Linked DNA regions of Diceros bicornis minor. The main gene of each other region encodes a partner of the protein of the gene in region 2 in a complex. Links are inferred from orthologs where the notes say so. Each region holds a gene or a part of one and is shown on either strand. Other genes may lie near its edges.

What was found.
Region 1: GTF2F2 (region 2) and POLR2H share a complex: the UniProt entries of both Homo sapiens proteins name them as parts of the TBP-based Pol II pre-initiation complex. The link is inferred for Diceros bicornis minor from reciprocal best matches to the Homo sapiens genes GTF2F2 and POLR2H.
Region 3: GTF2F2 (region 2) and GTF2E2 share a complex: the UniProt entries of both Homo sapiens proteins name them as parts of the TBP-based Pol II pre-initiation complex. The link is inferred for Diceros bicornis minor from reciprocal best matches to the Homo sapiens genes GTF2F2 and GTF2E2.

What each region holds. Positions count from the first base shown.
Region 1 is NC_080754.1:39,333,989-39,344,755, forward strand, and holds POLR2H (DNA-directed RNA polymerases I, II, and III subunit RPABC3), read right to left. Parts: upstream 4,318-10,767; 5' UTR 4,196-4,317; coding exon 4,123-4,195; intron 3,151-4,122; coding exon 3,067-3,150; intron 2,984-3,066; coding exon 2,890-2,983; intron 1,881-2,889; coding exon 1,797-1,880; intron 860-1,796; coding exon 742-859; 3' UTR 491-741; downstream 1-490. UniProt on the Homo sapiens protein: DNA-dependent RNA polymerase catalyzes the transcription of DNA into RNA using the four ribonucleoside triphosphates as substrates.
Region 2 is NC_080748.1:31,592,565-31,603,824, reverse strand, and holds the start of GTF2F2 (general transcription factor IIF subunit 2), read left to right. Parts: upstream 1-6,156; 5' UTR 6,157-6,372; coding exon 6,373-6,438; intron 6,439-11,260. UniProt on the Homo sapiens protein: TFIIF is a general transcription initiation factor that binds to RNA polymerase II and helps to recruit it to the initiation complex in collaboration with TFIIB.
Region 3 is NC_080768.1:28,323,550-28,333,883, reverse strand, and holds the start of GTF2E2 (transcription initiation factor IIE subunit beta), read left to right. Parts: upstream 1-4,974; 5' UTR 4,975-5,146; intron 5,147-8,106; 5' UTR 8,107-8,110; coding exon 8,111-8,276; intron 8,277-10,334. UniProt on the Homo sapiens protein: Recruits TFIIH to the initiation complex and stimulates the RNA polymerase II C-terminal domain kinase and DNA-dependent ATPase activities of TFIIH. Both TFIIH and TFIIE are required for promoter clearance by RNA polymerase.

The DNA.
Region 1 (10,767 bases), on a different chromosome or scaffold from region 2:
TGCCTACTTCCATAAACACCAAATCCACTCTTCCTGTTCTCTTCATAGTTGTGTCCCATGCCTGTGTCTAAAAGCCTCCACCCAATGCCTCCATAAAAATGAACATTTCCAGGCTATGCAAGTGACTCATTCAAGTCAATGTGATCTGACTTCCTAAGAGACTGAAAGTGTTGGAAGGACACGAGCAGGGCTCCTTGCCAATTCAAAATTCTATGCCAAATGGGTGGTATCTTCCGGGCCTGGGGTGCCCTCAGGAGCCAAAAACACAACACTCTCTCTCCCAGACAGAAAAATCCCATTGGAAGGTAAATGTAGGGGAGAGTCAGCCAGGAGACTAAGATAACCCTGAACCCAAATACCAAAAGGCTGGGCTAGATCCTACACTGACATGTCATCATCTGGCTGTGGACCAGAAACATAATATACCATAGGAGAACAGGAAAAATGGTTTTAAAGTAAATGGAAAAATTTTTTTTAAAAAGGGCAAGGGTGTCTGAAAAAGTAAAGTTTAATTTAAAAAAATCACATACACAAAACAACTTCTGATTCATTTTAAGCTCTCCCACTGGGTCTTTTACAGGTTAGTCAGTTTCCCATTGAGTCCAGACCACCTAAAGATGCAGCCACAGTGGACAGAAAGCCAGCACCTCCCGAACAGGTGAACAACAGCAACTCCACTCAGGCTTGAACGACTGTCTGTGGCCTGAGAGACTAAGCAGCAAGGTTGGCTTCCGGGATGGTTCAGAAGGCCAGTTTTTTCATCAGCAGATACACTCTGGAATCCACTTCAAATCCATGCAGGTTGTTGGCATCACCCTGCAGCCTCATGAGCAGGCCCCCATAGGACACATAGGCAGAGCTGAAACAGAAGACCCATCCCATGAATCTGAGCTCTGGAGCAGCTGCTACTCAGCAGCTCTCCACCCCAGCCTAAGAAAAAGAGGCACCTTCTAGTCCTTTGTCATTAGGAACCAAAATTCAGACAAAGATAAATGCACAGGTATGTGCAAGGCAGTGTTCTCTACACTAGCAAAGGTGGAAAATACTACATGCCCAGAATATGGGAAATGGTCAAATCCATTAAGATACATCCATTTACTAGAATGTTATGCAGCTATTAAAATGTTTAGAGAAAGCCTTAAACTGACATGGGGAAACATTTTTACATAACTTTAAGCAAAAAGAGCAGAAGAAAACACTGTAATAAACAATATGATCTCAAAGAAAAAAGTACACAGGGAAAAAAACCTAGAATATTCAAAAATGTTTACGTAAAAGGTTCCCTCTGGGTATGGAATTATAGGTGACCTTTTTTCCTTCTTCACAGTACTTCTCCGCTTTTCAGATTTCTTACAAAGTACACATATTGTTTTAATAAGATTTTAAAGAAAAGAAAAAATAGCTGGGAAGGGAAAGCAAAGAAAGAGGGATCGGGTTGCAGAGTAGCAAAACACACACAAATAAACAAAAACAAAAAAGACTGGCAGTTTAATCACTTAATGCTGCATTTTGTTCCTGGGGAAGCAATCTTCCCTTGCACTTCACACAGCCAGATGACCAGTTTCCATATGGACCACCGGGCCCTGGGGTCCTAACAAAGGGCTAAGTGAGCAGCCTACATTTCAGACTGGAAACTGCTCCCAGAACAGTTTCTTTCTGGGTCTCGCCTAGGTCTGAGGTGCTTGGGGAGAGGGACCCAACACAGGAAGCATGAGCATGGCCTGAATTTTCAGAGCATAGCCCAAATTCTCAGAACAGGGCGGAGGGAAGGGTTTTCACGAGACCACGGAACTTACAGACGTGTTGCCGCTTCAGTAGAAGTTTCATCTCCCTCAATTCTGTACACTTTCCCATACATTACATACTCAAATTGGTCAGCCCTGCGGAACAACAGTGGCAAAGTTATTCTTAAAAGTAGTTAACAACGGGGGCCAGCCCAGTGGTGCAGTGGTTAAGTTCGGCGCGCTCCGCTTTGGCGGCCAGGGGATCACAGGTTCAGATCCCTGGCTCAAACCAACACCACTCATCAAGCCCTGCTGTGGCGGTGTCCCACACACAAAATAGAGGATGGGCACAGGTGTTAGCTAAGGGCCAATCTTCCTCACCTAAAAAAAAAGTAGTTAATAATAAAAGGCCCTTTAAAAATGGTAACTGAACTAAGTGCCAGCATTGTAACAGCAGGCACCTTCCAAACACGAGCTCATTTAGTCCTCACAGCAACCCCGTGAGCTAGGTATGACCATCTGTATTTTACTGATGAGGAAACTGAGGCTGAAAGACATGGAGGTTATTCAGTAAATAAGTGGTAGGGCTGAGATCTGAACTCAGTGGGGCTCCAAAAGCCTTTCCGTCACACCAAATTCCCTCCCAAGATTCAAGGCCCACACAGCCCAGGTCACTCAGTGGTCATTTCCTCAGCCACCAAAAAGCTACAACTCACAAGCATGTAATCACTGCTCTGGATAAACACCTGGTTGTCTGAATTCTTCAGTGCACCAATTTCCTTAGGGTTACTCAGATTCTGCTGATAATCATTTAGTCCATGAATTAAATACGGGTCTTTCTATACAGGCCTTATCTACTTAGTTCTCAGGCATATTTCTTTTTTTTTTTTGTGAGGAAGTTTAACTCTGAGCTAACATCTGTTGCTAATCCTCCTCTTTTTGCTGAGGAAGACTGGCCCTGGGCTCACATCCGTGCCCATCTTCCTCTACTTCATATGGGACGCCGCCACAGCACAGCCTGACAGCAGTACGTCTGTCCGCGCCTGGGATCCGAACCTGCGAACCCCGGGCCGCCGCAGCGGAGCACGGGAACTTAACTGCTATGCCACCGGGCCGGCCCCAGTCCTCAGGCATATTTCAGGTACTCCTTTCTCCACTCCCTCACCTGGAAGGCCTGTCATCGGTGGGATTGTATTCACCATCATCCAGGGTGCCATCTTCATACAAGGTACTGGCTATGACCAACCGGAACTTGTCACCTGAGAATAACAGCAATATCTGAGGGTGAAGAACAGCCAAAATGGCAAAAAGCCTCCTGCTACTGTCTGTGTTCAACACTTACCCAAGTCTACAGGGTAAATCTGAATGTTCACATCTAAGATGAGGTCCATCTTGAAAGATTCACTCTCACAATGCAGTCGAGACACTGGAGGGAAGTAGAGAAAGAGTGACAGAGGTAACTGCCTGGCCCGAGGCAGATCCTGCAGATCCCACTTTGGGGGACTGTATGCAATAAAACACTCAGTCGAACCCAGTCTGCATCCACTGGCCTCTCGTCTGCTCTCATAAGAGCGCAGGCTCAATCAGAACCAGATATGCAAGAAGGAAAGGGGAGAAAAACCATGGCAGGTGGACAGAATCCTTGGAAAAGAATCAAAGGTCCTCTGGCAACAAGTAATATCCAGGTTCTAGGCCTACCTAAGTGATTAAGAAACAACCTGACTTAGGGCAAGTTATTCATTCATCCAGAGGTTTCATCTTTCTGTGCCAGGCGCCGTGCTGAGGGGATTATCGACACATGTAAGAACTAGTGTTTTTCTTGAAAAACATCTCAGTCTCCAGGCAAAGGAAGAGACGCCAAGGAGAAACAATTATTGATCAATGACAGAATAAAGAGGTGCATATCAAGCAGTCAACTCTAACTCACAGAGGAGTTCACAAAGAGCTAAAGATTCTAAGGGCAATACAAGAATACAGGCTCTGAAGTCGCATTACTCGCTGTGCAGCCTTGGGTGGGTTACTTAACCTCTCTGAGCAAAATGGGTAAGACACCGTCTACCTCATGGAGACTCTTGAAAGGCATAAGTAAGACAAAAGAGTGTGTAAGGTGCACAGTACAGCGCCTAGTACAGAGTGGGGAGTGATTAGAAAGATGCCCCGAGTTTACTAGCACCGTGAGAAAGGGCCCCCCAGGCACCCGGCACAGCGTGTGTGAAGCCAGGGAGAGCTAGGAGTCTCCGTTTTCTCGTCCATAAAATGTTTCCTCAGGGAGGTCCCTACATCAGGACCTGCCGGTAGGAGCAGGCCACGTGAGCTGGGTGGACAAGGGGCCCAGGGGCGTGTCCCCGAGGAGGAGATTGGCCCCTTACCCCAAACTGCCCCTACAAACCTTGCTTACCTCGGTCAAACTTCTTGCCCTCCGGGTCAATATCTTTCACATCAAAAATATCCTCAAACAGGATGCCCGCCATGGTGAGCGAGCCACAAGAATAGGAGAGAGGCTGAGGGCGCGACCACGACTAGGTGTACACACACCCCCTCGCGTGGAGAATACAAGCGGAGACGGAAAAGGTAGCGCCCACAGAGCGGCGGCAAAGGAAAAGAATAACGCATGCGCACGGACGTACGGGGATGAAGCCACTTCCGCCGCCTTGCTCTCGGGGCTTCTTAACGTCCTCCCCGAACGATTGCTTCCGAGAGGCTTCGGCGTTGAGGTCGGGTCCCAGGTCCAGATAACTCCGCCCCAGGGCGGGGACACAACGGGTCCCACCTTCCGCCGAGGTGGCGCCGGTTCTCGCTGGCTGCTGAGGCTCTACTGCGCCCTCTTCGGAGTGCCCCGGAAGACTGGAATGCGTGCGGGCCTACCCCAGCCAGGGACCTTGATCCTTGGCCCAGAGAAGCCTGGCCCTAGCCCTACCCTGCCGGTCCGCCCGCCTGCCGAGGGCACAGTCCGCGCCGAGGGCAGGCGGAGCAGAACCACGCCTCCAGAGCGCGGGCCCGGCAGGGGGCTGTACCCAGCTCCTCCAGCTGGCACCGAGGCCCCGCCAGGCCGGCCCGGCCCAGCTCGGCTCTGCTGGATGTCACCCGAGCCAGGTCCACCCAGTTTGGGAATTTGCCATGATGTCACTATGGCGAAGAGAAAAGCCTGCACTGTCCCCTCCCCTGGTACTGCACACTCCCCGCCACTGCTTCCTTCCCCCACGCCGCCCTTTTAGCCTGGCGTTAGCCACATCACACTGCCCTCCTCCTGAGCACTGCCCCTTCATCTTGGTGCTGCCCATTCCGCCACCACTGCACTGTCCCTGTGGACACTGATCTCCTACGTGCCCTTTCATCCTGGCACTGTCCTCTCCCACGGATACCAGCTCTTCCCTTACATTGCCCCTTCCCCTTGGGTGCTGGCTCCTCTCACACTGCCCCCTTCCTGGGCACTGCCCACTCTGTGCTCACTCTGCTCTCTGCTCTGTCCTTCTCCGGACCCTGATAGAGAACGCAGAGCCCCAGCAGGCCTTTCCCCCATGGTGGCGAGACGTCAGCAGCTACTCGGGTTTCTCCTTGGTCCCTGCCAGGGAAAAGCGACCTCTGTCCCCCCACGCCCGCCTCCCAGGAGCGGCCTCCTCGCACCTAGACCTCCCTTCCCTCGGGCCTCACCCCTTCGCGTTCCCTCCCCACCTCCACCCCCGCACAGCCGGCAGGCGAGATTGCTCCAGGTGCACCTCCCTGGAAGAACAGAGAAGAAGGGAAGGAGGAAGGGAGCGGATGAGAGAGACCGAGGGTCTCAGTTCTGAGCATCGCCCCCCTTTCTGGGCCTGGCGTCCCCCTCCGAGTACCCCCAGCTTTGCTTCTCACCCCCATGGGAGCAGAGGGGTCTTGCCAGGCCCCTCTGAGCCGCTGGCCCCTCCAGAGAAGCTAGAGAGGGCGCCACTCCTGAGAGAGAGATTGGGCCCGAAGAGTCTGATTTAGACGGCTCTGCAGACCCTGGCCGCAGACCCTCCTGAGCCCCGGCGTCTCCAGCCCCTCCCGCCCGGGCGCCGGGAGCCGCAGACCCCGCCCGGCCCCTCCACGTGCCAGCCGGCCCGCCCCCGCTCCGGTCCCGGGCGCCCCTCTCAGCCCCCGGCCTCCGCGGAGAGGGCCCCAGGACTCGCCCGTTCCAAGCGCCCCCTGCCGCCTCTCCGGTGCCTGGGAGGCGGCCCTATCGCAGACCCCGGCCCGGCTGGGCCGGCCCCTGTGAATGGGCCGGCGGGCGGAGCAGCACGGAGGGCACCGCCCTCGGCCCGCCCGCCTGGGACGGGACGCGAGCGGGTGGCTGCGCCAGCAGCGCCCGCCTGGGGCCCGCGGCGCTCTGCGCTCGGCCTCCCGGGCTGCGGGGACGGGACGGGTACCGGCGCGGGCTCTGCGGGCCGGGAGCCGAGTCCGGGCCGGAGCCCGAGCCGCCGCGGGAGGCCAGAGGGCTGTGCGCGGAGATGGCGGCGCCGGCGGCGGCAGCGGCGGCGGAAGGGATGGAGCCGCGGGCGCTGCACTACCAGCAGACCCTGGTAAGTGAAGCCGAGCCGAGCCCTGAGGAGTGCGCTCCGGAACCGCTGCTCCTGGTTACCCTTGGAAGCGCGAGGACTGCGGTCCTACCCTAACCTCACCCCAGCCTTCTGAGCTGGAGAAACTGAAGCTCGAGGGCCAGAGAGGCTGGAGGGCTAAGGAGTGGAAAGCTGCATTCAGGTTTCTGGCTGAGGCTGGGGGCCTGCAGGGGACAAGGATATCAGGGGCTTGTCCCAGGTGTCCTTCTCTTTACCCCCCGCCCACGTTTTCTTTGCTCCTTCCCCTCACTACCTGGGCCCAAGTCTCAGCACCCCAGTACCCCTCCCCAGCGCCGCTCACACCCTTGAACATTCTCTCTCTACACTCCTTTCTCCATTCCCTCTGTCCCCACTATGTGCATGGCACGGTGCTAGACACAGAAATGAGTGTGTAGAAAGATCATCAGACCCTAACCTGGCCCCAGCCCTTACCCCTGGGGGCTGGCAACCCAGCATTGACAGGAACCCCTTTTTTCTCTGGAAAAAAGGTGGCTTGCCCCGTGGAGGAAGAGAGCTTTAGGGAGGATGGGTCAAGCAGGAATGGGTGTGGGAATTGGGACCTTTGTCCATGCTGACTGGGTATCCAGCCCCCACCTATCCCAGGGGTGTCCCTTGACCTTATTAGAAGCAGGGGTCCTGGGGCTCTGAGCTGACTCATGGCCATCGCTGTAACTTAGTGTTTGAGAAGACTTTTGCACCTTCCTATGTCGCTGGGGTGGGAGACCCAATCTCTAGGGAAAGGAGTGGGCCCTGTGGCTTCTTTTTTACCAGCTTGGGTTGGAATTTGCCCAGGAAGAAGGCAGGGAGGAAACCTCTCCAGGAGGATGGGGCCTGGGCTTTAACTGAGGCTGGCAGGTGCCCAGTTACCAGAGAGTGACTGGATGAAACAGGATGACAGGAAGAGGTGGCAGAGGTGGAGGTGGAGCAAGGGTAGAGGGGCAAGCGTTCGCAAGGGGTGGGAGGTGTCTGTCAGTCTGCCCAGGCTGAGAATGGGGCATTGGTCAAGGAAGCCAGGCACCTGGCCACTGAAATGGTATCCATCTGTTGCGCAGCCACATCTCCATCTCCTTCGCCTGGTCTGTATGTCTGAACTGAGTTCTCAGGGTCAAGCTCTCTCCTAGGCACTCTCTGCTCCAGCCTCTCCCCCTGCTCCTTCCCATCCCTTTGTCTTTCTCTCACACACTCACCTCCCACCTCCTACAGTGTGTCTACCTCTTTATACTCTACTCTCTCCTCTTTTCCTCCTCCCTTCTTCCCCTCTCCTTCTCTCTCTCCTCTGCCCCTTCCCTTGGCCTCTCCTTTCCCCCTCTTTCTCCTATGTTCTCTTTCCTCCCTTCCTCGCTCTCTATCACTCTCTCTCTGTCTCTATCTTTCCCTCCCCCCCCACAACCCCAGCCCCAACAGGAGCCCTTTGTGTCCCGAAGCTCTGCGGGTGGCAGCCGGAATCTACTCCTCCCCACCCCCCAACACACGCCCAGCTTGGCAGGTCTAATCCCATCACCCCAGCATCCACAGTCACAGCCCAACCATCAGCTTCTGCTGTCCCCCAACCCACCACTGGACTCAGGGCAGCTCCAGAGTGGGGTCAAGGCCACTGAGCTCTCTCCACCTACTCAGAGAGACTTTCCACTCCCAGCTGGGCTGGCAGGCTGGTGGGGGGTGGGGGTGGAGAATGGGGACAAGGGGATTAGGTTGGGCGGGATGGGTGCAGCTGAGTCGGTCACAGGCCAGAGGCCCAGCAGGAACGTGATAAGGATTGGGGCCCCGCCTGCTCCTAGGCCCAACTCAGCTGCCCCCAGCTCCATGAGGCCCTTATTGTTACCCATACGCCCTTGACCATCCCTTCTTCTCTGACCTTCCCTCCTCCCACTCTCAGACTGCCTTAGGTTTTTCCATCTTTTCCTCCTCTAGGGCCTTGCCTCCCACTCCTCCTCAGTGCTCCCCCCCAGGCCTATGAGAAGAGGACTGATTATTCTGCCACCCCCAGAGCTGTGTCCCTGTACCTTGGCTGTCCCCATCACTCCAGCCAGGACAGCCCCCACAGTCTGCAATGTGCATTGTTCCCACACCCCAAGCCAAAGTGGGAACTGTGGGTTCAGGAGGGGTATATAATGTGGGGACTGGGAGAAAGGGAGTTGAGGCCCCAGGGGCCCTCCCTGCATTACCACTCAGCCCACATCTGCTAACCCCCACCTTCCCTATTGCTCAGATGTATGGCCGCTATACTCAGGAGCTGGGGGCCTTTGCCAAAGAGGAAGCTGCTCGGATCCGCCTGGGAGGGCCGGAGCCCTGGAGGGGTCCGCCTTCCCCTCGGACTCCCCCGGAGCTCCTGGAATACAGACAGAGCCGCTGCACCCGATGCCACAGTGAGATCTGGGTTGGGGCGGGGGACCTGGCTGTACCGTGCTGAGGGGGACAGAGGCCATTAGAGCTGCCCTTTGGGGGGTGGAGGGGGGATAGGGTAAAAGCACTTTTGTGCCAGCCTCCCCCTTCTTCCATTCCCTGCTTCCAGTCTGTTCTGTACACTGCCATAAGTTCCTAGTGTCCAGGGTTGGTGAAGACTGGATCTTCCTGGTCCTGCTGGGGCTCCTCATGGCGCTGGTCAGCTGGGCCATGGACTATGCCATCGCTGCCTGTCTGCAGGGTAAGGACAAGGGCTGGCAGGGGGCGGGCTGGGAAGAGCCAACCTGCTTCCTCCATGCCACACTTGTCCAAGTTTCTTGGCTACTTGGCCACTGACCACTTTCCCCGGCCTGACTGCCCCATCTTCAGTCATGCTCACTGCCACTCACCTAGGCTACAACTTCTTGCCCCCGCTCTCCATCTGACTCTGTTACCTATGGTGATCTTTGTCCCAGTGAATGCCCTCCAGGGCCCCCTCCCTACCCCTTGTCCTCGGGCTCTCTGCGATATTCCCTGGGGCAGCTTGTTATATTGGTATGTCCCAGTGGCCAGGCGGGGACTGGGTGTGCGCATCGGGGGCCAGCAGCACGTCTCCTCCCCACAGCTCAGCAGTGGATGTCCCGGGGCTTGAACACCAACCTCTTGCTCCAGTACCTGGCCTGGGTCACTTACCCCATCGTCCTCATCACTTTCTCAGCCGGCTTCACACAGATCCTGGCTCCTCAGGCTGTCGGTACAATAGGAGAGCAGGGGAGGGCAAAGGTGGGACCTCCTGAAACAGGCACATTGGATGACTCTCCTGGGACTGTGCCCTCTCCAGGGTCCGGCATCCCCGAGATGAAGACCATCTTGCGGGGAGTGGTGCTGAAAGAATACCTCACTCTCAAGACCTTTGTAGCTAAGGTCATCGGGCTGACCTGTGCCCTGGGAAGTGGGATGCCCCTCGGCAAAGAGGTAACTGCCTGTTGGGGAATGAAGGAGTCCCTTCCAGTGGAGGAAGAAGCCAGGCCAAGGTCAGGAGGCACCCTTCCCCACTCACCGCCTGCCCCCACCCCACAGGGCCCTTTTGTGCATATTGCAAGTTTGTGTGCCGCCCTGCTCAGCAAGTTCCTCTCCCTCTTTGGGGGCATCTATGAGGTAAGGGGGACCCTGGGGGACGGCAGAGGGGAGGGGTGGGCTGCTGAGCCCATGCTGACTCCTCTTTCCACCACTCCTGTCAGAATGAATCCCGGAAAACAGAGATGCTGGCCGCTGCCTGTGCTGTGGGAGTGGGCTGCTGCTTTGCCGCACCTATTGGAGGTCAGCAGTCCTTCCGGCCCCCTAGCCCTGCCCTTGGCCTCACCTCCTTTGCCCCTCTTGTCTGGGTCTGTGTCCCTAGGCCCAGCCCAGGCCTCACGTGGCGCCCTCCCCTGCCCCCTCCCAGGCGTCCTGTTCAGCATTGAGGTCACCTCCACCTTCTTCGCTGTGCGGAACTACTGGCGGGGCTTCTTTGCTGCCACCTTCAGTGCCTTCATCTTCCGGGTCTTGGCAGTCTGGAACCGTGATGAAGGTGGGGGGGATCTGGGAGATGAGGGGAGCCCCTGAGATGGCTCGGGTGGGGGTCCTCGGTGCTACACCTGCCTCCCTCTGCTACTCTGCCATCCCTTCAGAGACCATTACAGCTCTCTTCAAAACCCGATTCCGGCTCGACTTCCCCTTTGACCTCCAGGAGCTGCCTGCCTTTGCTGTCATTGGGTGAGGAGCTGAGGGAGCTGGGTGTGTCGGAGAGGAGGAGGGAAAAGAGGGAAGACCTCCTTTTACCCTGGGGCTTCTTCCCTCTCCAGTATTGCTAGTGGCTTCGGGGGAGCGCTCTTTGTCTACCTGAACCGCAAGATTGTTCAGGTGATGCGGAAGCAGAAAACCATCAACCGCTTCCTCATGAAGAAGTGAGTTGGTTCTGGGCTCCTCTCTAGGCCACTTGGGGTTCTGTGAGGGTCACAGTGGGGTGGGGGGGCCAGTGACAGGTGAGATGGCAAATAATGGCCCAGTCAAAAAGAGAAAATCAGCCAGTGGTGTTTTCCAGGCTGCTT
Region 2 (11,260 bases):
TAATAATTAGGCTAGTATGCAGCAGAGCTGTGACTTGAAAATATGTTGGACTCCAAAGCTCATGCCCTCTACACTAAACAATATGGAAACTATTTTAGGGAGTATTTTTTTGTTTGTATATGACTGAGGAAACAAGGAATCTCCCAGGGAAGGTGACTACTCTGTGAAAGAGAACTGTTGGAGTGAAGGGGAAGGCAGGGAGAATGAGATGGGGTGTTACAGCCTTGGTGTGTTATCAAAGCAAAATTATCTACTTACGACATCACCAATGTAGATGAAATCTAGTTAATTACCACTAATTAATCTACTTAATTTGTAATTTTTGAATGAAAATCTTAAATTAGTGACTAATAAATAGTAAGTTTGCTTTATTAAGAAGGACTTTGTGGTGGTGTTTTTTGCCTATGTGAATATCCCTGGAGGTAATAGTTCCTGTTGCTAGAATGTTTCTGAGTGCACACGAATAAAGAAAATCTTTGGCCTGGAGAGACACTGGACTCGTGTGTTACAGCCAAGGACAAAATCTGAGAGCGGACTCAGCTACCTGTTAATATCATTCTAATTCCCTCAACTCACTTATAACATCTCCTTTAATGACTTTGCTGCTTATGGTCTAATGGCTACATGATAGAATTGTGGTGTTCTCAATTTACAAGGCTTGGGGGAATTCTAGCTGTCAGAAAAATGACAAAGAAAAAAATTTCTGGTAAACTTGTGGGCCTCAGACATTGGAGTCTGGCCCAGTTCTAATAAACTCTATCAATGTGGGATTAGAACAATGATTCTCAGATTTTGGTGTGCCTAAGAAATACCCAGGGAGCTTGCTAAAATGTCAATTTCCAGACCCACTTGCAGAATTCTGATTTTGTTCACATGGATTGGGGCTCAGGTGTCAGTGTTTTTAGTGCAGCCCTCAGAGGATCCTAATAAAGTTGTCTAGGAACAAGAGGCTGAGAACATTCATCTCGAATGAAGCATGTTTGGTGATACTTGGGGTTGTTGGGGGGGATTTGTTCCTGCTGCAGCTAGTCTAGAAGACCAACAAAGGAGAATGTAGTTCTGCATATTAAGCAGGTAGGGCTGCCTTGAGATCTGAACCAGAATCTAAGCCCTGGACTAACGGTGGAGTCATAGGTAGTTCTAAGAACTACTAAACTTCTTGGACAAATCTCAGCCAGTAGGGAGTTCTTGAGCCCTCCCTCCTTGACTTGCATTTATGCCTTAACACACTGAATAAGAACTTGACTAGTCAAGGGCCAGCCCCGTGGCATAGTGGTTAAGTGTGCATGCTCTGCTGCTGGCAGCCTGGGTTCGGATCCCGGGCACGCACCGATGCACCGCTTGTCACGCCATGCTGTGGCGGCATCCCACATAAAGTGGAGGAAGATCGGCATGGATGTTAGCTCAGGGCCAGTCTTCCTCAACAAAAAAAGAGGAGGATTGGCATGGATGTTAGCTCAGGGCTGATCTTCCTCACAAAAAAAGAAAAAAAAAAGAACTTGACTAGTCAATCATCTGGGAGAATAAAGAATTTTGGAGTTACATTTTTGGGCACTGACCTCTGCATCTGTGATGGTTAATTTTATGTGTCAACTTGACTGGGCCTCAAGTTGCCCAAATAATATTTGGTCAAACATTGTTCTCAGTGTGTGTCTGTGAGGGTGTTTCTGGATGAATTAACATTTGAGTCAGTAGACTGTGTAAAGCAGATTGCTCTTCCCAGTGTGGGTGGGCCTCATGCAATCTGTTGAGGGCTTAAATAGAAAAAAAAAAAAGGTTCAGTAAGGGAGAATTTGCTCTCTCCACCTAACTGTCTCCAAGCTGGGACATCAATCTTCTCCTGCCTCCAGACTAGGACTCAGGCTGGAATTTACACCATCAGTTCTCTTGCTTCTCAGGCCTTTGGACTTAGACTGGAAGTACGCCATAAGCTCTCCTGGGTCTCCAGCTTGACAGTTGCATATCTTAGAGCTTCTCAGCCCCATAATTGTATGAGCCAATTCCTTATAATAAATCTCTCTCTCTCTCTCTCTCTATATGTGTGTGTGTGTGTGTGTGTGTGTGTACAGAACTCTGACTAATACAGATTTTGGTACCTAGAGTTGTTCTAGGGGAACAGAATGTTAAAGATGAGTTTTCTGGCCGGCCCCATGGCTTAGCGGTTAAGCGCGCGCGCTCCGCTGCTGGCGGCCCGGGGTTCAGATCCCAGGCGCACACCAATGCACCGCTTCTCCTGCCATGCTGAGGCCGCGTCCCACATACAGCAACTAGAAGGATGTGCAGCTATGACATGCAACTATCTACTGGGGCTTTGGGGGAAAAAAAAATAAATAAATAAAACTATAAAGATGAGTTTTCTAAATTGGTTCTGGTGTTTCTGAAATTAGCTCTCTAATCTGATTCAATTTAAAGGTGATAATGACTCTATTTCCAGTAGTAAAGAGAGCACTGATAGTCCCTGATGTGATTGGGCAATAGAAACACATAAAATATCTGCATTGCATACACCTAATCAACCACTTATAAGAAGCAAGGGGGCCGGCCCAGTGGTGCAAGCGGTTGAGCGTGCGCACTTCGCTGCGGCAGTCTGGGGTTTGTGCGCACTGACACACTGCTTGTCAAGCCATGCTGTGGCAGCGTCCCATATAAAGTGGAGGAAGATGGGCATGGATGCTAGCTCAGGGCCAGTCTTCCTCAGCAAAAAAAAAAAAAAAGAAAGAAAAGAGGAGCATTGGCAGACGTTAGCACAGGGCTGATCTCCTCACACACACAAAATAATAATAATAATAATAATAATAATAATAATAATAATAAAAAAGAAGCAAGGATCTAGGTGACTGTGTGTATGATACTTTTGAACATTTTTGGAAAGCTAACAAATATTTGAACTCCCAGCCTCATAGGTTGTCTGCTGTTAAGGAGAGAACACTGATTGGGAAAGAATGGGATTCTATAAGTTGGAATGGGGACAAGTGGGAAGACTCGGATAAAGCTGGGGACGCTGAGACCCTAAATTCTGATGAATCTTCTTTGCCAGTGGAAGTGGCCTCCCCACCCCCAGTAGAAGCAAGCAGCCATCCCACCTCCAGTGGTACTGACTCTTCCCCCCTAAATCCGCCCCCACCATTAACCCTACACTGTCTGAGGACACTGTAATGGCTTCCTTTAAGGCAGTTGCCTTGCAAGACAATGCTAATTCTCCTCAAGACCCACCACTTGTGGCCGGCCCGGTGGCGCAGGGGTTAACTGTGTGCGTTGTGCTGCAGTGGCTGGGGGTTTGCTGGTTCCAATCCCGGCAAGCACTGACGCACCACTTGTCAAGTCATGCTGTGGTGGCGTCCCATATAAAGTAGAGGAAGATGCTCACAGATGTTAGCCTAGGGCCAGTCTTCCTCAGCGAAAAAGAGGAGGATTGGCAACAGATGTTAGCTCAGGGCTGATCTTCCTCACACACACCACCTCTTTTTGCTTCTAGACCTATAACTAGACTCAATTTCCAGCAGGCCCCAAGGGTGAGGTACAAAGTGTGACCCATGAGGAGATGTGCTATACTCCAAAAGAACTACTTAAGTTTTATAATTTATACAAACAGAAATCACAAATTTATGAGAATGGATATTAAGGTTGTGGGATCATGGTGGAAGGAACATACAGTCGGATCAGGCCAAAATTATTGATGTCTGGCATATAATAGGCCCTTAGGAGGGTGAAGAATCTGCCTGCAATGTGTTACCCTGTTGGTCTCCAGAGCATATCTGTGAATCTGCCAGAGCCCATGTCTTCCTTTTCTCTCCAGCTCCATAAACATCCCTCCTCAATCTGGAAGAGGATTTGAAAAGGACCAATAAGGGAAGTTTGTTCTTTGTTTAACAGTGTATGAGGAAAAGGTGCTCAATCAAGAGTTTTTCTTTTTTTTTCCTTCTTCCCTATATAATTTTTAAATCTTCACTCTTTCCTCTCTTCTCTAGCCATTGCTTCTTCTTTAGCCATTTGTTTTCCCCCAATCCCTGTAAACACACACACACACACACACACACACACACACCCACCTGCATTTTAAGGCTTCCCATGACCCACAGATAGAGGCCAAGGTCTTAATCCTTTAAAGTCCATTACAATGGTGCTCCAGGCTATGTTAATTCACTTCTCCCATGGTCTTGTATTTCAATTGATTCTTTCTATCTGATCAAAGCTTCAAGTAGCTCTTTTGTCCCTTCTATGTTTTAAGGCCCTCTCCCACACTGCGACACAAGAATGCAACCTTCCTTTTCAACATGTGCCTGGTCTCTCATTTGTCCTATCAGTTTTCCTAGCGATCACAGAAACCTCACGGCTTTTCCCGACCCTGTGCTGCACAGACACGGAATTTCTTCAATTATATACATGGCTTTGATGTGTGATTCAATACATTACTCGTCATTCTTACAATATCTTACTGTTTCTCTTCAGCGAGTGTTCCTTCAGCCAAAGCCTATTGAAATCTGACAGTGTGTCAAATACTGTGCTAGATGTTGTGGATATGAAGTGAATAAAACACTATTTCCACCTACAGGAGCTCATAGGCTAGAAAGCAAAGGCAGCATGTAAACATGTATATTATAGTGCAGCGTGCTAAGTATCACACACTGTGATGTGAAGAAAAATGAACTTCCTCTGTGGGAGTTGATAAAACTTCTCATAGGAAGTGACATTTCCATTAGTCTTGAAACCTAAGTAGGAGTTTGCCAATCAGTGGACAGGGGAGAGAGTGAGGGTAAGAGAAGAATAGGGCATCTGAGTAAAGGAAATTGAGGCTCAGGGCAGAGGTTCTGAAATAACTGAGGAAGATTCTGATGTGTTCATGATACTGACCCTCTTAATCTCAAATTTGTGTGCCGGATGTGCAATAAGCCAATCACTGAGACATCGTGCTTGGAGATGGAAAAAGATTTATTCAAAGTGGCCAAAATGAGAAGGTGGGAGGATAGGTTCTCTCAAATCCACCAAAGCCCCAATAGATAGTTGTATGTTACACTTGCACATCCTGCTAGTTGCTGTATGTGGGACACGGCCTCAGCATGGCCAAACAAGTGGTGTGTTCTGCGTCGCCGGGATCTGAAGCCAGGCCACCAGTAGCAGATGTGCACACTTAACCGCTAAGCCACCGGGCCAGCGCTCAAATCCACTTTAACAAGAGAAGAAAGCAGGGGGTTTTATAGAGCTAAGGGGCTTGGCAGGGGGAGTTTTGGAGAAACAAAGGGTAATCCCTGTTTCTTTCACACCTAATAAAGCCCCTGGGCAATCTGACTCCTGAGCGTCCACAGGAGCTGGGGGCTGGTTATCTGTTGATCCTTGAAAGCATTCTTTTTCTTCTGCAAAACAAGCTCATAAATCCTTGTGACCCCTGAATAACCCCTCAGGTAAAACAAGAAAACAGCAAATTGACAAGATTAAGTTCTTTTCATCTATGTCTGTGTTGGGAACAAGGTCAAAAGGTAATCTTATTGAACATTTACAGTAACCCTCAGGTACCCGGCTTCCTTCAGAGTGTTCTGATGGGTTCCGCGTTGTTGGATGTGTGCAGCATTGAGTGGCAGGGATCAAATTGAGAGGGCCTGGGTAGAGAGAATTGAATTTTATTCTAGAACTAAGAAGAGAGAGAGGAAACTATTTAAGCAGCGGAGTCTGACAGTCAGCTTTGTCTCTTATATGTCCATTGTCACTGCCCTAATAATATGGACTCCTGGTTTTGGAGTCTGAAAGGGGGTGTGGTCTGCTTGCTTAATCAGAGGTGTTCAGAGTAGCCTCTCAGTTGAGACATTGCTTTTTTTTCAGGTCTAGAAAGAGCTTGTTTTCCATATACCCAGGGCTATTCAGTCTAATCCCAGCCCTCACTTCTGCTAATTCACTTCCTCTATTTATTACTCTGACATTGTCCTCCTAATGCTGTTTCCTCTCCTTGGCCAGAGTTGGACTTATACTGACAGCCTTTGTCTCTTTGAATCCCATTTTTCTGTTTTGATACTTTTTTTCTTCAGTTAAGTCGACCTAGTCTTTAAACGTATTGGTGACGTTTTGGCCCATGCCACCCTATGTTTTAATCACTGAGACACAGCCTGCGCTAGTAGCCACGCCTACTGGAGAAGTTGCCAAACCAGGAAGTTTGTCCGCACTAGCGCGCCGTACTGACAGTGGCAGTGCGCAGGCGCAGTTCCCGGCTCCCAGCGGCGTGTTCCTTGTTCCCCAGGTTCCCAGCGTCCTGGCAGGTGGACGCCGAGTCTTCCAAGTCTGCCTCCGGCCGCGGCTTGTCTTGTGCTCCAGTCCCTAACTCCGCAGCCCCTCAGCTCCCTGGGCAGCTGCTGTGGCCCGGACGCCTCCACCGGCGACAGACCCATGGCCGAGCGCGGGGAACTCGACCTGACCGGCGCCAAACAGAACACCGGAGTGTGGCTGGTCAAGGTAATGTTCGCGCGGGTTCCGCTTGCACTCCTCCTAGTATAAATAGTTTAAGTGACTTGAGACCGTCCCATTCCGTGCGCCTTTTAAAGCTCTTTACTGCCATCTCGTTAGAGCTTCACATAACTTGAGAGGCAGAACTTACTGTTATGTTCGTTAGAAGACGAGAAAATTAGTTTAGGACACATAGTGTCTTTACTCAGTTAAGAGTCCGGACTTGCCTGGAATGGATCTCTTTTCCCCACGACCTGATTTTGCTGGGCCCCTGTCTTGGTGTCCCCCGACTTGAGCGGTGCATTTTACCCCACACTGAAGAATTTCTGCATCTTGTCTTGGTGAAACTGATTTTAGTCGTGAGTCTGTAGGAGGAAGTTGAGGGTCTGCTTTCTGTACAGTTTTCTCGGTCAGAAAGTAGAACTGGTTCCTGCGTACCCTTAAAGTGTTTCCTTTGGTTGATGGCCCTTAATGGAGTTCTCAGGAGAGCGAGATAGCTCTGAACTCGCGGAAGGAGAGGCCATTGGACTGGAGTGTTCTTTTAGGGCACGACTGGGTCTCGTGACACTGGCCGTCAATAAAAGTTTTTTTGTAAAAACAGCAATCTTGATTAGTCCTTAGCACAGTATTTGTGCTTTACTTTTTCATATTGGGGAGTGTTATCTCTTAGGGGAGTTTCATAAGACATATGTATGTTCAAAATGTGATTATGACAGTCTTTGAACCTCAAGCAGAATGTAGGGACCTTTGGTTTGTTAATTTTTTTAAAAACTTTTACCACACGGCTGAGTTTTCATCAATTAAATCTGAGAGGCCTTTCCTATCCACCTCTATAAATAGCTCCCTTATAATCATTCACTAGCATGTCAAACCTGTATTATATTCTTCAAAGCGCTTATCATACAGTGATTCTATGTTCATGTGTTCGGTGTTGGTTACTTCCTTCTCCCCAGCGCTTGCGCGTGCGCACACACGCACCCACCCACCCACAGTCACCTTCCATGAGAATAGGATCCTTGCCTGTCACACCCAGAATTGTGTCTGGCACATGGTAATTGCTCAACAGATATGTGATGAATGAATGAATACTCTCTTATTCTTCATCCCTAACCTTAGTCTCGGGCACTCATTTGACTTATCCCAGCTATATGAATATGACTTAAAAGGATGGAGTAAATGAGCCTTTCTCTCTCCTACTGCATGCTAAATGGAGGAGAATCGTTAAGGAGATCTCCCTTGCAGACTGAAAGAGCGAGCTTGAAAAAATGGTGGAATTTGAGACGATGCATTTGTGCTTGGAGCATTGTAGATGCTCAATAAACGTTTGCCTTACAGGTTTTGGATGGGTAGACAGAGGCATAGCATAGTGTACCATAGAGAGTGGAACAGAAATGCAAGACTGAAAATGCACATTAACATGGTATGTCCTGGAAAACAGATTATTATGCTTAGAGCAGAGGGTCTGTGTGAAAAAGGTTGGGACCATATACTCATTGTCATATCGTGAAATGAGGATGTCTTAACCTTAGTCTGCAGGAAGTAAGGAACCTTTTGGAGGATTTTGAGTAAGGCAGGGGTGCAAATGATTTTTTCAGGGAAAAAAAAAAAAACTTGAGGGGAAGATAACCAGAGTCAAAATTAGAAAATTATCACAGGATCATGGGTGTATGGTAATGAAGTCTGAGGAGGGAAACTTTTTCAGTGAAAGTTGTCAGGATTTGTTGACTAAATGAGAATGTGAAAGAATGTAATGAATCTAAAATGAAGAAGTTAAAAAATTTTAGGGCTCTCATATATGGCCATTTGAATACATTTTCTCTCTTTAAAAAGAACTCAAGGGGCCGGCCCCGTGGCTTAGCGGTTAAGTGCGAGCACTCCGCTGCTGGTGGCCCGGGTTCGGATCCCTGGTGCGCACCGAGGCACCGCTTCTCCGGCCATGCTGAGGCCGTGTCCCACATACAGCAACTAGAAGGATGTGCAGCTATGACATACAACTATCTACTGGGGCTTTGGGGAGAAAATAAATAAATAAAATCTTTAAAAAGAACTCAAGTGAAGCCAATGATTTGTTCTCGTTTTCTAAAGGTAGTTGTAATGTTTTGATTATTTATTGTTTGCATTGTCATTGTTTCCTCATATCAACTTGGCATACAGTGTTTCTTCTTTGTCTAATGTTATGTATCAAAGAAAATAACAGGCTTGCCAATACATCTCTCTGGGGTGCAAAAAGACTTTCTTGCCAGTTCTTGTCATCTGACAAGGACGAGGATTGCTAACAAATACTTTCTGTTCTAAAATCCATTCATGTTCCTCCTTTATTTGACAACTTTTATTTCTGCTCTAGTTAAAGGAGTCCCAGGGGCCAGCCTGGTGGCTCAGTGGTTAAGTGCGTGTGCTCAGCTTTGGGGGCCCGGGGTTCGCAGGTTCCGCTCCTGGGCGCGCACTGACGCACCGCTTATCAAGCTGTGCTGTTGCTGCGTCCCATATAAAGTAGAGGAAGAGGGGCACGGATGTTAGCCCAGGGCCAATCTTCCTCAGCAAAAAGAGGAAGATTGGCATCGGATGTTAGCTCAGGGCTGATCTTCCTCACACACACACAAAATAAATAAATAAAATGGAGTTTGATTTGCACATTTGTCAGATAGTTTGAACTTGTTTCATTTGCGCTAGGGTTAGCATCCAATGTGATTTTCATGCCCATATCTTGAGCATACTTGGATTTTCATCTCTGAATTGCAGGAATAAATTATATGAGTGAATCAAATCTTAATGGTCAGGCTCATTTTCAGCTTTTTTTGTGTGATATTAAAATATAACATGTTGCTTAGAAAGTGTCTTCATTCTTATCCAATCAGAGTTTGTGAATAGAACTACATACCAGTTTCGAGTCTTTTCTCTATACATTAATATTTCTCATTACAAATAATACCTTGAGTTCTGATCTTTGAGGATTGTCGCAAAATATATGAGTTTCTTGCTAGAGTATTTCAAAGTTTATGGGCCATCTTGTGCATATTTTATTAATTCCATCACTAAACAGGTATAGAACAGAATAAATACAGTAAGAGCTATACATATAAGATCTCTGAGAGTTTTGGACAGGAAAAAAATTGGCTAGCTGCAACAGGAAAGACTTCATGGGGAAGGTGACATTTAAGAAGAGCCTATAGAGTTGATTAGTTAGAAAAAACTTCCCAGCAGGGCCGGGGAGAACTAGAGTGTGTTCAGGTTTGGAATGTCTTAAATCTACAACAGAATGATGATCCGAACAAGTTTTGATAGGTAATAGACGTGATTGGATTTGACTTTACGATAGATGTCATCTGCCAAAACATACAGTCACAATTTTAACCTTGTTAGGGAGCTCGTCCCTTGTAGTTTGCATTACCCTATTCCTATTGGTCACTTGGTGCCAGTGTTAGGTTGCCAATTGGTCACACTGCTACTACACAGCCTATACTAAATCATGATTTAAAAATTGGTGATGTTTAAAAATATTTTAGCATAGTTCTGTTGTTTGGCTTCCAATATTTAGACTTCTGGTAAAATGATTGTCTCTAGTTAAGGTTGGCGGAGGTACATGATGGGGAAGAGGAAGAGATAAAGCTGCCAAGGTTGTTAGGAGCCGTGGGATTTTTGTAAATCGTGAGTATCATCCTGGGGCCTGAATTATAAGAAATGTTATTTCTTTTCTGGGAATGGACAGGTGGAGGTACTGACAAGAGCTGTGGTAGGTCTAACCAACAGCTTTCTAGCCAGCAAAAAGATGTGTTTCTAGTCCGCTCAACCCTCTTGTAAGCATGCTGACTAATGTTTGTGAGAGGAGAGGATCAGGAAAGGAGGGATGGACATCATCCCCTCTGAATGCTGTGTCTTTTATTCAACTCAAATGCCAACAGGCTCAGCTTTTTTTTTCACAGACAGGTAAGCAGTTGGACATTGACAGTCAAAGAGAAAGCTATAGAGAAAGCTATATACCAGGGAGAGATGAAACTAGAGTGGGTGATATCTCAAAGCCTTGCAGATAGTAGGGGAAAAAGGAACTTACATTTCTTATGTATGCAGTATTGTACAAATTAGTACCTACTTCATAGGTACTAATTATCTTTATTTTTCAGATGATAAAATTGAGGCTTAGCGGGGCTAATTATCTTGCCCAAGCGTGGAACAGTGATTCCAATTTAGGTCTGTTTGGCTACAGAGCTTATGCCAGGAATAGAAAATGTCTTTTTTCCTCTTAAGTCTTTTTAATGAGTTATCTCCCTCGAGAACAGAGACGAGGTGGGGATTTCATTTCTCCGTCCTTGGATCTTGTCAACTCCATATGTTGACCTTCAAGAGAATATGATAGAAAAAGCTGCCTGTCATAGATTGGGTTCCCTGGGAGCTGATTCTGAAATGGAGATTAGCATGCAGGGGTTTATTAGGGAGTGCTCTTGGGATCACCACCTGTGGAAGGAAAAGGACTTAAGCAGGATGGGGCAGAGGGTATGATGCAATCTCAGTGGAAGCTAAGGACGATTCCACAGGGAGCCCTCCGGAGCTATCCTGAGTTGGGGCAAGGTATACCCTGTGTCTACCAATCATTGCATGTGGTTTGCCCCAGAAGAGTGCGTGATCTTGGCCAAAGGGCCTCTCTTGGAGGCAATGCCAACGAGAACTTAACAGCTGAAGGCTATTAGCCACAATCCTGGCAGCTGAGGGAATAAGGCCTTCAGTCTTAAATGGGGATATGGGTGTCACATCACAGTGTCTACTACAGTGCCCTTAATTTGCTTGTATTCTGGGAGCTTGGAGACTGGTAGTTGGGGAACTGGATATTTAACGAACC
Region 3 (10,334 bases), on a different chromosome or scaffold from region 2:
AAAGTTACTAAGTGGAAGCAATAGCAAATGTTTGCTTTTTGGAGAAAGTTTGAGATAGAGAGGATGGTAGGGTAGCAGAACATGCCACCACGAAATACGCCACCTCGGCATAAGGGTTATTTTGAACTGAAGGCAACTGAGAAGAAGCAGATACAAGAAAAGCTTTCCATCCTCCCCGTTTGCCTGAAAGTAGGACATAAATTTGTAAAGGTGTCTGCCCTCTTCTCTTTACCAGGAAGGATAAAAGTTAATCACTGGAGACAACTTGAGACCCTTATCAGCCCGAAGATGGTACCAGAGGAATCTACATGACAAACTTTACTACCCAGCCCTTATCTTCCATTAGTTTCTTCATATAGTTGCCTTTGCACAATTTACCATCCTAGAAACTCAAAGTCCTTTTCACTCAAAGTCTTGTCACTTCTCTATAAATTTATCGTTCTTTTGTCAATATGTTATATAAGCCCAAGTTCTCATCAGCCCTTTGAGTTACTCATCACTAGATACTCCGGTGTGTGTGTGTGTGTGTGTGTGTGTGTGTGATGCATATGTTAATAAACTTCTGCTTGTTTTTCTCTTGATAATCTGTCTTTTGCTAGTTTAATTATAGGGCCCCAGCCTGAGAACCTAAAACGAGTAGAGGCAAAAAATATTTTTTTCCTCCCTTACGGGATGAATGCTTGAGAAGGAAGCAGGGTCCTGGGAAGATATTTTCAGGATTAGGCAGGCTGAGTCAGAAGGCAGGGGAAAAGTCTCTAAGGGAGCAGAGACTGTTAATGCTAGAGAAATCCAGGACAGATGATGAACAAAGTACTTACTTTAGTTCTTGATTTGTGCGGATGTGAGCTAATTTGCCTCGTCAGCTATTTTGAGATTTAGGTACCTATTTAGTTAGTTGAGATGGATTAACAGGTAAGGCGAGTTGAAAGGCACTTACTATTTGATGGCAGAATGAAGTAAATTTTTTTATCTTACCTCAATTTTCCTCTTTAAAACTACTACATAATGTAAAAAATTAAAATGTAAAATTAAGCCACTACGTAAAAAAGAAGGAAGTTCTGATACATGCTTCAACATGGATGAACTTTGAAAACATCATGTCAAGTGAAATAAGCCTGACACAAAAAGACAAATATTGTATTATTCTACTTATATAAAATATCTAGAATTAAGGCAAATTCCTAGAGATAGAAAGAAGATTAGAAGTTACCAGGGGCTGGGGGGAGGAGGTGGGAATGCAGAGTTGTTGCTTAATTGGTGCAGAGTTTCTGTTTTGGGTGATGAAAATTTTGGAAATAGATAGTGATGATTGTACAACATTGTGAATGTAATTAATGCCACTGAGTAGTACACTTTAAAATGGTTGAAATGGCAAATTTTATGTTATATATATTTTACCACAATTAAAACAGTAAAAAAAATTAATCCACTAAATTGGAATTAATCCTGTGGTTACATTGAGTTGTTTTTTTTGAGGTGGGAGGGTTTGGATAGGTCAGGACAGAAGAATATTTTATAATATATACAAATTATATTTCCCTGAAGAAGCCACATTACTTTCTACCAAAGAGTATGCAGGATATTATAAGCATTCATGCGACAAGACAGATTGCTATTGCATTAGTAGCTTGAATCATTCTTTATATAATTTCATGCTAGCCACACCCTTCTGACCTAGAAATACTGAGGCTGCAAATATGTAGGTGGTTTTAATTATTATAAAGGTTTATTTAAGCATCAATGGTGGAGACTTTGTGTATATTACACAAATAGCCATGTCCCTCACCTCCGAGTGGGATATTTTTCCTATGCTTTCCCTAAGCCCTAGCTAGAGGCTGCCTCAGACGCAATCCAGATGATGTCTTTTTTTTTTTTTGTGAGGAAGATTGGCCCTGAGCTAACATCTGCCAATTCTCCTCTTTTTGCTGAGGAAGACTGGCCCTGGGCTAACATCCGTGCCCATCTTCCTCCACTTTACATGGGACGCCGCCACAGCATGGCTTGTCAAGCGGTGCGTCTGTGCGCACCTGGGATCCGAACCGGTGAACCCCAGGCCATCCCAGTGGAGCGCGCACACTTAACCGCTTGCGCCACGGGCCGACCCCCAGATGATGTCTTTATTGTGTAACAAGGATGAGAAGGCAGAATAAAAATCCATATGTTTAACCCCAATCTTGAATTCTCTGAAATCAAGCTAATTTGGGCTGACATTTGGAAATGGTCAAGTTGGTCATTGTCGTAGTCAACATTGTCAGCAGACAAAGAGAATCCTTTTTTAGTTCATTAGTGTGGTGTCCATGTGTAAGTACCTCTGACACAAAAATGGCCTGATTATGGCGATATACGGAGCCCACTTTTGTCTTCAGTTGAGGAGTACCTTCAGAGTACAGGCTATCACCCAAAAGTGTTTTGAATGAATGCAGTCATTGCTTTTAGTGTTAGGACTTAGTCACAGGCCATAGGCACTGTGAACAGGAGTGATTTCAGTGGTTGACAACATTCAACGTCTATATACTTTAATGGTTTGCTAGCACGTGTATGGGAGGGTTTCAAGTTTGGCAATGATAGTAATAACAGCTAAGATTTGGGTAAAGGATGGGCAACTGAGATGGGGGTTTGGATTATGAATAACATATTCTAATATTGGCATTAGAAGGCTTAGCTGTGTTCAATATCTGTCCCAACTGGCTGAAATGAGACAAGCCATTGAAATAAAAGAATAATTATGAGCATTCTTTAAAAGTAAACAATGAATCCATTAGACTGAGATGGCTCTAGTGCCTTGGTAGCCTACATAAACAAACTGAAACCTATGCCAGAGTCAATAGACCAGAAGCGAAGGAAACGAAACTTAAGAACAACTAATTACAAACAGCCAACTAGGCTTTCCCAAATAAGGCCATGACTTAAGCTACAGCCAATCAAAGACTTTCTTTGATTTGCTTCGGAGTCTTCTCTATAAAAACCTCTCCCCTAGCTCCTGTCAGTGGAGAGCTCCTAAACATTTTTGGTTTTGGGCTTCCCCAATTTGAACTGATGTTTTCTCAAATAAGATATTCAAAATTTTAATGTACCTCTGTTTTTTTAACAGTTCATTAAGTGCTTTCCATGTGGTAGATCTAGTTCTGCAAAAGCCTGATTCTCTAATTGTGAAACTCATAATTCTCAAGTGACTAGGAAATGAGCATGTGTTAAAGTTTTATTTAACACAAATGGAAATAAATGAAGACCACTCAAATGAGAATAGAGACTACAGAGCTTGCTATAGCAAGGGAGTCAGCCACCATTACTTGTGTTTGGCAGAAACTCAAACTCAATCAGGGAACTGGGAAGTTTTATAGACTAAAAAAAAAGGATGCTTCTGGTACGTTCTGATTAAAGGTTGTTGGCAGAGGAAGCTGGAGGTGGAGTAACTAGAAGTGGGGCATCTGTGTGATTGGTTTGGGGAGTGTATTTGTTTTTCTCTGGTGATCTTGTGGGGGGGGTGTATGTGTTGGGGGGTGGGGGCTAAAATAGGGAAGTTGGCAGCCTTTGAGCAAATCCTGACCATTCTGAGCTGATTGCTGCAGAGGTTGTGTCTTGGTTTCTTATGTGGGTCAGAGTTTTATCATCACATATAATCTAGCCATTGTCTATTTGTATATTAAGTCTCTCACTCATTAATAAGGGAGCCAGCAGAATGATAGAACTAATTCCATGAGGATATGAGAAACTGGAGTTTATATAATCATTGAGGAAAGGAACTATGAAATAAAAATTAATGAATTGATACAACACTGACTCATTTCTCAGGACAACGCAATTTTAACCTTTGGGATTATTTTTTGTACTGGATACCTGCTCCTGCTCCTTCTCCTCATTACACCTCATCAGTTTTTTTTTTTTACCAGTTAATCTCTGATTATAGTGGGCTGTAAAACATTTGGGCCTTAATAAACTGTTATTCAAAAGAAGTTAAATTTCCTAACGGTGTCAGATGATTATCAAGTGGGTTTATTACAAAATCCTAGAATGAAACTAACTTTAAAAAGCCACACAATCAATCATCTTTTGGCTTTATTTCCAAGTTTTGAATAAAAATTCATCTATTATCTCATTTAATCTTCACAACAGTCCAATTCAAGTAACCCACTGTGATAGTACAATTATTCCAACTTCCCAGATGAGAAAACCAAGACACAGGTTAAGTAACTTGAGGAGTAATCAGCACTAATTAATTAAACGACAGCTACAGAATAGTTGAGCATTGGCTATGCTGCTGTTTTAAGTTATAAAAGTGAGGAAAGGTCAGCCGTGGGAAATCTGACGCACTCCAATTCACTGCAGGCTGTGGCAAGGCCAATTATCTTTTTCGTCACTTTATTTCTACCCCTTTACGTTGCTTCTGAACCCGAAATGCTTTTTCTAAGAGAGTTCACAGATGTGTGGTTGGGAGTTCAGAAACGGCTTCACGTCAGGATTTGTCTTCGCTAGCTACGCTGTCACGAGCAAGTCATTTAGCTTCACGGGGCCTCCTGCTTTCTCACTTGTAAAAGAGCGCTGGAACAACGTGCTTTGAAATTTAGGTGCTGGTGAGTGGCATTTGATGTCACAAAACACCTGGTAGACAATAACTTGAAAAATCGCGTCGCTACTTGGGTAAACAGATTCCAGAGCACGCTGGAGGAGGATCTAGTAGGTCTAAATTTCTGTAAAAGAAAGATTTCTTCCATCTTAGCGGCCGCTCCTCGCCTCCTACCTCTGCCCGGCTCTCCGCCCCGCCCCCAGCCACCTTCGCGTTGTCAAGGAGACCCGGGACGCCCCAGCTGGCTGAGCCCTCTCCCGCGGTATCCCTAGCGGGGCACGTGATGACGCACGCGCGCTCTCGGCGGCGGAGGCGTCGCGGTGGCTGCCGGGACTGAGCTCCTAGCAGCTTGCTCAGGAAGTGGCGGGCGGAGCCCCGGGCCGAGTCGCCGCCTCAGCCACCGCCGCCGCCGCTGCCAGTGCCGAGACCCCGAGCTGGCGGGGCAGCGCTGGGCGTGCGTGCGGGCAGGCGGGGGCGCTGACGAGGAGCAGGAAGCGGTGGCCAAGCCGGCGTGGGCGGCTGGTCCGGGCGGAGGCGCGGGGAGGCGGCGGCGGGGCGCGTGGGGCGGCCCTTCTGGCTCAGGTAGGGGCTGTGGCGGCCGGGTGAGGGGCGCGGAGCCCCGGCCTGTTGTTCCTCGGGACGCCGACCCCCGCGGGGCGAGCGTCTCTCCCACCCCTCGGGAGGCTGGGGCCGCCGTGCCCTACGCGAAACACCTACACACGGCAACAACTTCTTGGGAGCATTGTCTTTTAGGCTGGAGATTCATGGAGCAAACTTTTGGGTTGGAAAGAGGGAAATCGACAGTCCGATAGCTGACTGTGCCTCTTCCTGGCCCTCAGTTTACATTAGCAGGAGCCGAGCGAACCCTGTGTGTGGAGTGTGGGGAACCACGGTGTCCCACCAACTCAAGGCTGTGATTTAGATGCTCCTTCACGGACTATATTTTTAAAGCTGCCTTGTAATGATTCCTAAACTTTGGTTATAATAGTTGTTTTCTGCGGTCTAAAGACGTGTTCTAAAACAAAAAGGTTGCGTCTACCGCTACATTTCTGTCATTTCGGAGGTGAGCAGTCTCTTTTCTCATCTGGCCAGCTGCTCATAGCAGGGGTCTTAGGTGCCACGGGCCCCTCTGGGAAAGAAGCAAAAGAGAGGAAAAGTAGGAAGGTTGAAAGAACTCGAATGATGTAGTGGAAAGAACGTGGGCTTCGGAGCCAGAAGATTCTGATGTAAGTTTTGGCTTCTCCATGTGCATCCGTGGAGGAACACGTGCACTCATTGAGTTGTGGCGGTGGTATTTTTTTAATGTAAATTGGCAGAGTGGTGTGGCCTGTTTACTACACAAGTCAGTGCATGTAAAGCACTACGAATACTGAGTAGTCTTCTGAGAAAAAAGGAGGAAAAGTTAGGCGGAGCATGCGGTGGTGACAGACAGACATGAAGCCTTCTGCGATGGGTGCCATTCAACGGTACCTGTCCTGCACAGGTCGCCTTTGTTGGAGAGGCCTTTCCCTTTACCAGCATTTCAGGTCTGGAGTATGGAGCACTTGAGTTACGAGTCAGGATATTCGGGTCTTGGTCCAGGTACTTCCAGCTCTGTGACCTTAACTTTACCTCTTCACTTCAGATTTCACATATTAAAATAGGAATAAAACTAGTACCTATTATCTCGTAGAGTTGTGAGGATCAAATGCTGTAAGGATTTAGATCTTTGTGAACCATAAGCCTCTTATTTAAATGTGTTAAAATCGTGATTAAAAGCCTGGATCGATTACCTGTCTTTACAAGGTGAAATAAACAGATACAGATGTTTCCTGTTTTAGGCTTGTTGCCCCCACCTCATCACTTGTGAATTCTCTTATTCTCACACTTTCCCTCCCCCATCTCTTACTGTCGGCACCCCAGTATAATATCATTCTGTTATTTTTCAGATGCAATTCAAAATAGTAATATTGAAATAACATGTATTTGTATAGCTTTACTATTTAAAAAGTTGCTTTCACAAACATTTTCTCGTTTTAGTCTTACAGTTGGGCTAAATGTAGACAGCATTGGTAGTATCCTCACTTTACTTATAAAAAAAATTGGATTTAGAGAGGTCTAGTGGATTGCCTTTGGTCAGTTGCTGTTGGGGTTAGAACTGAGGGGAGAAGGCAGGTCTTTCATTCGAGGTCCAGTGCCAGTGACTCTTCCTTACTTAACTGAAGTTTACTCTGATTATTTCTTACCAGTGCTTATGTTTTTAACTTTTGGCACTCTAAGTCACATTTTATTTATCCATGCTTTTTAAGCGAGGTGCTCAATGTGTTCGTGTTCTCAAATGTAAGCTGCTTGAAGACAAGGGTTTATTTTCCAGAACCTTTCAAAGCTTGGAGTACAGTGCCTCACAAACAGAAGACATTTTGTAAAGGCTTGTGAAACCAATAACAATGAGGCCAGAGCAATTTAAAGATGTTTTTGTGTTCATTGTTCATTTAACAAATATTGAACTACCCTGTGCTGGAAGGCTTTCAAAGTATTAGTCTTTTTCCTCTAGGACCTTCCTTCCCAATTTATGAACACTAGTTTTAACAGTGCAAATGTAATTTAAATAGTCAGCTTGTACACTTCCTGGACTCTCCACAGGGTTCTAGAGAGAGTTCAGACAAGAGAGGAACATTAAAAAATTTTTGTTAAATTACCTGTGGCTTCCCTGGTTGTGCTGAAGTTGCTTAGAATTGGAGTTTTAGAACTGGGAAAAAAACTCGAAGAGGTCTAGCTCCACCTCTCTCCAAATCGGGAATTTTCTGTAGATATTTCTAACAAATATTAGTCCAGCCTCTTCATCACTTAACAATAGAGAGTTCACTAGTTTTAAAATACACCTTGTCATTTATAAGCAATTATGATGGTACTCTCTTTTTTTTTTTTTTTTTTGCAATGAGTATAAATCTGCCTCCTAATTTCTGCCTGGTAGTCCTGATGTTATTTCTAGAGCAGCGTTGTCCAATAGAAACATAACGCGAGCTGCAAGTGTGAGCCACACACGTAATTTAAAATTTTCTAGTAGCCGTATATCTTTTAAAAGTATAAGAAAATTAGGGGAAATTAATGTTTTATTTAACCCGGTATATTCAGAATATTATCATGTCAGCATGTAATCAGTCTAAAATATCTCATTAGTAATTTTAAAAGTTCTTTTTTTTGTACTAAGTCTTTTAAATCTGATGTATTTTACACTTAGAGTACATCTCAAATCCAGCCCCATTTCAGGTGCTTAATAGGCACATGTGGCCATTGACTGCCATGTTGGGCAGTGCAGTTCTCGAGCTTTAGAGAATAATTCTGTTTCTCTTTACTAGTGCCTAGTAAAGTGCTTGGCACATAATAGGCTCTAATTAAAGATTTTTTGAGTGAATGAGTAAGTGAATAAATACAAGTGCTGTATAACTAGTAATAACAGATAATTTTGTTTGGGAAGCAACTCTTGTTGAGACCTATGGATTTGGCATATAGGTTTGAGTGACTGGAATCTGTATGAAAGATAATTATTTTTATCTTCGCAGCATTATGGATCCAAGCCTGTTGAGAGAGCGGGAGCTGTTCAAAAAACGGGCTCTTTCCACTCCTGTAGTAGAAAAACGTTCAGTATCTTCTGAATCATCATCATCATCATCAAAGAAGAAGAAAGCAAAGCTAGAACATGGAGGGTCATCAGGTTCTAAACAAAATTCTGGTTAGTAAAATTGACCATTTAGGACTGTTTAGTTTTTATTTTTCACTAAACCATTTAGTCGTGGCAAGTTCGTTTTTCAGTTCAACATTCACATTGATTGATAGGCATTTTGTTAAGTATAAGGGATGAAATGATAAGGCAAGTTTTTGCTCTTAAGATGTTAATAGTCTTGTGTAGTAGTTAGAATTTAGGTTATCTTTAAAAAAAAATAACTTCATTGAGGTTTAATTTATGTACCATACAGTTAACTTGTTTTAAGTGTACAACTCAAAGATTTTTAGTAAATTTACAGAGTTGTACAACTGTTACTATAATCCAATTTTAGAACATTTCCATCAGCCCCAGGAGATCCCTTGTGTCCATTTTCAGTCACTCCTTGTTCCCACCCCTGCCCCAGATAACCAGTAATCTACTTTCTTTTCTGCTATATTGTTGCCTTTTCTGGCCGTTTCATATAAAGGGAATTGTACACTATGTGGTCTTTAGTCTGTGACTTCTGTTACTTAGCATCTATTGAGATGACCATGTTATTCTTGTTTTTTATTCTGTTAACATGGTATATTACATTAATTGATTTTCATATGTTAAACCAACCTTGCATCCTTGGAATAAATCCTCCTTAGTTATGGTGTATAATTGTTATACAAATGGGATTCAGTTTGCTGATATTTTGTCCAGGATTCATCCATGTTGTAGCATATATCAGTACTTAATTCCATTTTATTGCTGAAGAGTATTCTATTGTACGGATATACCACAATTTGTTTATCGATTCACCAGTTAAGGGACATTTGGATTATTTCCACTTTTTGGCTATTACGAGTAGTGCTCCTATGAACATTCATGTACAAGTCACGTGTGAATATGTTTTTTTCTCTCTTGGATGGAGACCTAAGAGTGAAATTTCTGGGTCATATGGTAAATTTATGTTTAAATTTATGGCTGTACCAGTTTACATTCTCACTATCAATGCATGATAGTTCCATTTTTTCTCTTTCTTGCCAGGACTTCTTATTCCTTGTCTTTTTGATCGTAACCATTCTAGTGGACGTGAAGTGGTATCATTGTGGTTTTAGTATGCAGTTCCCTAATGACTAATGATGTTGAACATTATTTCATGTGCTTATTGACCATTCATGTGTCTTCTTTGGAAAATGTCTATTCACATTTTTTGCCCATTTAAAAAAATTGGATTGTCTTCTTCCTATTGATTTGTAAGAGTTCTTTACATATTCTGGATACAAGTTCTTGATCCAATATCATTTGTGTTCTTGGTGTCATATCTAAGAAATCTTTGCCTAACCCGAGGTCATGAAAATTTACTCCTATTTCTTTGAAGAGTTTTATAGTTTTAGCTCTTACATTTAGGTCTATGATATGTTTGAGTTGATTTTTTGTGTATGGTTTAACATAAGGGTCTAAATTCATCTTTTTGCCTGTGGTTATTCATTTGTTCTTGTGCCATTTCTTGAAAAGACTGTCTTTTCCCCATTGACTTGCTTTGGCACCCTTGGCGAATATCAGTTGACTATAAGTGAAAGAATATATTTCTAGAATCTCAGTTTGGTTCGATTGACTGATATGTCTGTCCATAATTATGCCAGTACCTTACTCTCTTGATTGCTGTAGCGCTGTAGTTAAGTTTTGAAATTGGGAAGTGAATTGGGAAGTCTTTCAGTTTTATTCTTGTCTTTCAAGAGTGTTTTGGTTTTTCCTGAATCCTTTGCATTTCCATATAAATTTTAGAATGAGCTCATCAATTCATATCTGTAAAAGAGCCAGTTGCAATTTTGATAGGGATTGCATTAACTCTGTAAATCAATTTGGGGAGAATTGGTACCTTAACAATATTAACTCTTTTCATTAATGAACGGGTATCTTTCCATTTACTTAGGTTTTTAATTTCTTTCAACACTTTTATAGTTTTTAATGTGTAAGTCTTACACTTATTTTGTTAAATTCATTCCTAAATATTTTATTCTTTTTGATGTTATTGTGAATGAAATTGTTTTCTTAATTTGATTTTTGGATTGTTCATTGCTAGTATATAGGAATACA